Oreochromis niloticus: one gene and its partner. The protein of the gene in region 1 interacts with the protein of each later gene in a biochemical or structural test. Links are inferred from orthologs where the notes say so. Each region holds a gene or a part of one and is shown on either strand. Other genes may lie near its edges.

Evidence for each region.
Region 2: of the proteins of usp33 (region 1) and arrestin red cell, one has a biochemical effect on the other in vitro, tested with the Homo sapiens proteins (2 studies listed by BioGRID, with this or other methods). The link is inferred for Oreochromis niloticus from reciprocal best matches to the Homo sapiens genes USP33 and ARRB2.

The regions. Positions count from the first base shown.
Region 1 is NC_031982.2:25,338,839-25,342,589, forward strand, and holds the start of usp33 (ubiquitin carboxyl-terminal hydrolase 33), read left to right. Parts: upstream 1-1,147; 5' UTR 1,148-1,336; intron 1,337-3,751. UniProt on the Homo sapiens protein: Deubiquitinating enzyme involved in various processes such as centrosome duplication, cellular migration and beta-2 adrenergic receptor/ADRB2 recycling.
Region 2 is NC_031975.2:31,924,871-31,928,621, forward strand, and holds the start of arrestin red cell, read left to right. Parts: upstream 1-1,109; 5' UTR 1,110-1,499; coding exon 1,500-1,522; intron 1,523-3,751. UniProt on the Homo sapiens protein: Functions in regulating agonist-mediated G-protein coupled receptor (GPCR) signaling by mediating both receptor desensitization and resensitization processes.

The sequences.
Region 1 (3,751 bases):
ACTTATGCAAATGTGTGTGCAAAGTCTAAAGGTAAAGGTTGGTGCAAAGAACTTGCTGTTAAGACATGATTACTCACCTGTCTTTTCTGTCCTATCCAGGGTGTTTGGGCAAATGTTTCCCTGGGGTCCGGACACCATTTAAAGGTTCTAGGAGAGGCCATGCATTAAAGGAGTGTGTTTTTGGTCTTCCTCACTGTAGATCCAGCTGCAAAAGGCCACCTTGTCACACAGACTCGGGATCATAGATAGAACTTTGGGGCTGATGCCATCAGAGAAAGCAGCCTTGCTCTGGTTTAGTTTCTCCAAATGTATATTAACTTGTTTATTAATTTATTCTTAATGTATTATTTTCTTTGGTATGTGTTTAATCTTTTTTTATTTTTATTTTTTAAGAAATCTGTTCTCATTCATAATATGCTGTGTGAAACATGGTGGTATAATAACTCTCTACCTTTTGGGTTATTATCTTTGCATTGAATCAATTATATAATCATATATTTCTATCACCATGTTTTGCTTTTTGCTATTTTTGTAAAGCTGTAAAATAATAATAACAATCTTCATCATTTACTTGGCCAAAAAGAAGTGGACAGCAACACAGTTGAAATACTTAGCAGTCCAGCTGTATGAGCATCACATTGTAACATAACCGCCCATTAAAGTTTATAATCCATTTATAAGAACATTTTGGGACATTAGATGGTGCCACTGATATAGTGATAGTGGAGCTTTTCTACTGGTGACTCTGGGGTGGATGGATCCCTGCAGAGGGGATTTCTTCACTATGAAAACACTAGATGGCGCTTGGGATGGGTTTATTACAGTGCATGTTGTCTTTAATGATCACCAAATCATTCTTTTTCCTTTATTGCTACCCGTTTTGTCCTTCATGTAAGTGAACTGTAATAAGTTTAAAGACGCTGCTAGTTTTTTCTCTAACAGTCCATAACTGTCCCATCACATCTGATCCTCAATATTGATAAGAGCGGATCACTAGGCTCAAAAGATAATTAATATTTGCTTTTATGTGACTTACTAATTGAATAATCTACAGTGAGGCTATAATGCTGTTAAAAACAAAAAATTATAGACCGTATAGGATTAAAAATCAAACGTGCAGCAGGATGGGGAGGGCTCGTATGTTTTCTTTAAACCGGAAAAGAGGCGGGGACAGCAGTAACGTTAGCAACCACGCTGAGCGACAGGGACGGTTATCGTTAATGTGAAGAAAGGACTGCACTCTAATATGTTTCTCTAAGTACAGACTGAGTTTATGTTGCAGACCGGGAGTACCATCCGATTCACCTGAGAAGCGGCGTCCCTTGGTACCGAGCAGGTAAGGCCGAAGGCTGACGTTGCGGCTGACTGTGCCGTAGTCACTGTGGGATTGTCCCCGATCACAGGAGGCTAACGTTAGCCAGTAAGTTGCGCACGAGACGGCTATCAATGGCGAACCATTTCACCTAAACACTGTCTCTGGAGGGTAATACGTTCACCTTTTGTTGTTTTTCTATGCTCCTTGTGGGTATTACGTCAGATAAAATGCTCTTAGGATGGCCGTTAGCATGCTAAGGTTAACAGCGAAATAGTGCTAGTCAGCCCGTGACGCTGTCAACGCCTCGACTGGTTTTGACAGCTCACTTTGTACAAGGCCGAAGCCACACGCATCTGTAGTATTCACCGTTTTTTTATCTACGTGAGGCTAAACCACCCGCTGCTTTAAACCAGGGTAGTTAAAACATGGCCCTTTTTAACTGAGTTTTTTTTTTTTTTTTTTTTTTAATATTAAGGCCAATGCTACCCATTTGTAGACAGTCTGTTGTTAAAGTGAGCTGTTAAGCTTTACATGCGTTGTTGTTGTTGTTTTTCCGTCTTCCGGTGTTTATTGTGTTGCTGCTTATCATTTCAAAATTTCCCTAAAGATAACAGCTACAGCCACAGCCAGCATCGCTGCTTTCGTTAGTGGTGCGAGGTTCGGGTTAACGCCCCACCCTGACCGCGCCACCCCTTTGTGCACAGTTTAATATCATGTAGTATTGTCACGTTGCTGGCAGAGGCAGTGAAACGGTGCGAAGAAAGGTTTGTTAGCCGAGATACTCTTCCTATCACCAGCTTTACGTAATCTCACGAGGCTTGACAGTGAAACTAGCTTCTAATCAGATTTTCCTGGTGTCTACTACAGAGTTTAAGGTCACTTCAGCTTTTGCAGGGATGGCCGCAAAGTCCAGGCAATTGCGAGGAGCCTGGTAAGATGAACCAAACCTCGCCCTGTTTCACTTTGCAGGGATTTAGTGTTGGTATGAAATGAAATCAGTTTCAAAGGCGTCATTGATTATTAACTTAGACCTAGAGACGGTTTTGATGAGGGGAGGAAGCAGGCTTATTGACTTGCACGTGACTGAACATGAACTTTTCCTATCTCCCAGTCGACCTGTTGTCTTGACCAGATCATGACGCTACAAACACAGACACAGATGCAGGGTTTCTTTTGCATAAATAAACCTTTGGCTTTCCACCTTTACTGTGATAAACATGATGTTAACAACTTTGTTTGAAAATTGCATACACTTCTGTTAATTCTTTTGTCTAACAATATGCAGAGCAATTGTGCTTATGTGCATTGTCCCTCAAAGGCCCACTCTGAGCAGGAAAAACCCTAAAATATTTGCCATCTTCCTACTGTCAAATATAATATCTGATATCTAATGTCAGATATTAAATGGACTATCATTGTTTTCTCACTGCTAAGATGATGGATGAATCAGCAGTTCTAGTTTTGGGGATCACATTTTGTCAGAAATAAACTGATTGCTTTCAATTACTTACGTGAACTCAAAATGTTTACCATCTTCTGCTCAAAGACAGACCTGGAACTAATTGTTTAGTCGCCGAGTATTTTATTATATATTTTTTTGGGTGATTAAAAACAAGAAGACTTAAAATTGAAGAGGAAACATTTATGTGCTACCTGGATAGTAACCCAAGCATTGTCGACCCGTGGTTTTGTGCCCAGAATGGCTATTGGATGATCCGGCCTGGCTTGTAATGATGCATCTACATGTGCATCTTTCTTTCATCTGCCTCGAAGAGTAATATTAGTGCAAACAGCACTTGGAACAAAACACAAAATTGGCTTCATGTCATTAACCACAACACTGACGGATGAGATGGAGCTATGTCCTGTGTGTACTTCTGAGGGTTCCCCCCCCCTCATACTGTTGTTGTTGTCTGTGGGCTGTAAAATGGGGGAAAAAAAAAAAAAAAAAAAAACAATCAGAGAGAGGGAATCACAATGATCAGCTTTCTCTCTTAACCCTGGTTTTCTGCTTCAGGCTCTGTCGACTCTCACTTGACTGCGATTGAGTGCCTCCTGCTTCGGTCAGAGGAATTCCCGATAAAAGTCTATAAAGGATATGGAAAAAAAAGACAACTTTTCTGCAAATAAGCTGAGAGTATTACTGCAGAAAGTCATTTATTTTGTGACTCAGTGAATTAATATTTATTTTGTCACTCAGTGCACTTTCAGCGCAACAGTTATTAAAAACGTGACTGCTACACATTTGAGCTCTGAAATGTTAAACTGGATCTGTAGAAACATTAAAACTAACCCGGTGTGTTTACGCCTGATTCTGTACCACAGCTTAATGATGGAGAGGTAGAAATCACTTAGACTATGGCCAGATCAAAGTGAAATGGAATATTTTTGGTGACAAAGTGTTTTTGTCTGTGTTAAACAAACTTTGGAGGAGAT
Region 2 (3,751 bases), on another chromosome or scaffold:
ATTTTTTCTAGTGGCAGAGTGGCATTTTTTGCAGTGGTGAAAAAGGGCTTCCTTCAAGAGCAGCCCTGAAGGCTTTTCTCCGACCGTGGCCTCTGGATGAAGGTTGAACATAGTCACTGTGACTTCACTGCTTTAGTCTGTGGGCTCTGCTCCGTAAAGCCTGAAACCGTGTAGTTTATTGGTCAGGGACTTGGATAAGGTGAGGTGAAGCCCAGCAGAACAGGTTGGAAAAATGAAGCACGTGTCTTAAACCCGTGTTCTACCTGAAGGCCACCAGATGGCAATAACTGTGGTTGCATAAAAAGACCTCCAGTCCCATAGAGGCTTGTCACATGATGTCAGTCTACATTCCTCCAGAGTGGTCTGCAATATTTGAGGTGATACACATTAGGGCAAAGTATGTATTCCCTGAATGGTTGGTGAAACCTGAAATAATCTGGTGCAAACCAGAGAAGGGTCGCCTTCAAAGTACAAGCGATGGCTCAGAACCATGCCGATATGTGTCAGAAGGCACAAATTTCACTTTGAAGGTAAATGTTCGACATTTCTCTTTGTGTTGCTTTTTTTCACAGCTTTGCAGACACATTGGCGTGTTGCATGCAAACCACGGATGATTGCAGCAACTCGATAGCAACCAAAGCAATCACTGACCAGTTGGGGAATACACTTTTCTCTCACGACTGAGCAGTGGTGGCCAAACAGTTGCAGACCAGTCTGTAAGGACATCATGTCTCAGATGATGGACAAGTTAAAACCATGTGGTTGGTGATCATGTGACTGCAAGACCTCAATAGACGACTTGGGAATAAGTCATTCAGAGTTTTTGGGCTCTGCTACTTGTTTTGTGTCTTTTAAAAAAAAAAAAAAATAGGAGTCTGTTTTGTAAATTTTGGTCATACTGTGTTTTCTGGTGTGTTATTGGGAAAAAAACATCAGCTACAGTAAAGATAAGCAACTCCCTGATTTCTGTATTGCTTCATGTGGAGGACTCCTGGGGGCCCCTGAGGGTCCGGGAAATCCGAAGCCTTGTAGGTAACACGGCCCTGGATTGCGGTGAACCTTAAACATGTCAGGCTGTTTAATGTGAATCATCTCCTGCTCTGTTTAACATTGAATGGCCGGTGTTAGCACAGAGTCTGCGCTGCACCGCAGGTTTAAGAATCATTTATGCCAAACTATGAATGGACTTTGAAGCAGCAGTAAACCCTCGGTCAGCCTGTAAAGCAGCTGGATTAGCTCGCTGCTGTTTTATTTCGCAGCGGGTCCTCACAGAGACAGCAGAGCGCGCACAAACAAGCAGAGGGGAGGGGGAGCTGCTGCCTTTGCGGAAGCCAGCGGAGAGCCGAGGCGGCGCTAAATCAAATTACCATACTAACTAGTTCTCTGTGCGCCGATGTGAGGGGAGCAGGCTGAAGAAAAGCCTCCGTTTTTAAAGTCAAGACACCTACGAGTCCGGCCTCATTTTGTTGGGATCTTCCTGCCGTCCGCCTGCAGAGGAGATGGGGGACAAGGCGGGCACCAGGTAGGACGGCTAGGCTATGAACGGCTAGCTGCGGTTTAGCGTCGGTTCTCACGCACTTTGCTAGCAGCCGTGCTAGTGGCCCAGGCGGAGGAGTTTCTGCTCTCAGCCCGAGCATCAGAGATTTACCCGCTTAATTAGCTAGACCCGGGCCGGGACCAGCGAGCGAGCCCTCTGGTTCTGGTCCAGAACTCTCAGAGCGATGACCTCGTTCGCAGGAGGCGAAGTTAGCACAGCAGGGTGGGGTTAGCTATCCGCGGCTGTGGTGGACGGGACGGCGTTCCAGCGTCCGCTCAGAAATCTGTCAATTTTCAACATTACGCTAACGTTTCCGTCTGACTGAAAAGCACACGAAAAATGATCAACTGTTAACGCCCACCGCTTACTCTAACACAAAGAAAAAAAACGGCACGATATTCGGGTGATTTTACACCACATTTGGGTGTTTTAAAGAGGAATTCCCACGGTGTTTGTCCAGTAAAATACCGCTGAAACGTTAGTGGGCGGTATCGACATGTAACCTGAAAAACAGCATTTTAACTTGAGATTTGTTTAAATTATGGAGCTTATTCTTGTTCGATTCAGTTCCAATGTTTACAGTCAGCTTTTATGTAACGTAAAATATTAGAGTGTTGTGTATTCTCGTTAACCAGGGGCGAAATGTTAAAATGAAGTGTTTTTGAATGGAATTTGGTACGAAGGAGCGTATTGGTGGGCTATTTAGGTTCACTTGCCTCCATCACGGGCTTATTTCGGGTTTCTGGTACCGCAGGTTCATGCCAGTTAGCTGTAAATGTATTTTAAAGAGAATGGAGCTTTCGTTTTCGGGCATCTGTGAGTTCTGGTTCCTGTTTCGGGCCGATACACTCGGTTTGTAGGCACAGCACATCGACACAAAGTGATTGTGGTTTCTTTAAAGCTCAGGATGCCCCCCCTTCCCTTTTTTGTGTGTTTACACCCTCAGTTAATTGGGTTAGCACTGCTGTGGATCAGCTTTCCTTCCCATGTTTTCTCCTTTATTCCTTCTTCTGCAGATCCCGATTAACAGAAGAGACCCAGAGGGCTTAACTGCATTAATCCAACACACAAAAATAAGACTAATGATGAGGAATGACTGTTATGCTCATCAGATCCCGTCCTGTCGTAATGTGATAGGAATACAGGGCCTTTAAAGTCAGGTTCAGCTCTTTCCTTTACTCCATCTGCTGAAAATGAGGTTAAAGTGCTGACTGCTTCAGGCTGTTTACATCCACATCCTGCATGTTTCTCCTCTGTGAGGTGAAGGTTTGTTGGATGTACAGCTTTCATGCACACAAAAATGATCCGTTTCCTCATGTGTTAGCAGCTTTTCACTATAAAATGCTGATCATCGCTGCTGTTTTTGATGGATTTTCCTCTAACCGGGGGGTTGCGAGTCAGCCCAGCCCATTCCACTTGCAGCTTAACTTTCCTGCCAGTTACTTCCTGTTAGGAAGCAGGTGGAAAACTGGGAGGAGAGGAAACGGGCAGGAGGAAAGACCAACGTCATAGCTGTTGAAGAAATGGGTCTCTCTGACATTCACGCTCGAGCCGCTGTTAACAGATTATACATCGAAGCTGCATGTCGAGTGGCTCTGTGGCACTTTGACTCTTTGCAAAACACCAGCCAGCAGTGGAAAGTTTTTCTCTCTTTGACCTTTCACCTTTTGTACTGACAGCCGTGAAGCTCTTCTCCTTGAGTTTTGTATGAGTAGATTAGTAAGTGTGGCTGTGAGGTGTAGCGATGAGCCAGCTAGAACCGATCACATCCTGATATTTTGTCTGTGTGTTACATTATAGACAAAAAAGCCTCTCCTTCAGAGGCGACGGCTCAGGAAAACTGTTATTTCACGCTTTGCTTCCAGTTGTTTACCGCAGTGTGTCAGATTTTGCATGGCTAAAAGAATCCGTTTTAATTGGCTGTTGTATTGAGATCATCTTCAACACCTGTGTCAAGGACGTGAAGCCGTTACGCTTTACCAGACTCATTCACAAAACAGCAATTTTATGTCACAAAACACGTGAGCTGCTTGTTTACAGCTCGCTCAGCTGCTTAGTTCTTGCTGCTGCATGACTTTGGTGTTCTTAATGTATTTAGTCATATCGGAAATGGTGCGTTGCATAAACTCGACCCTGTTTTCATGTAAGAGTTGCTGGTTTTGTAAGAGAAGTCTGGTGGTGGTTCTCAGCGACTCCCACAGATCAACAAATGAC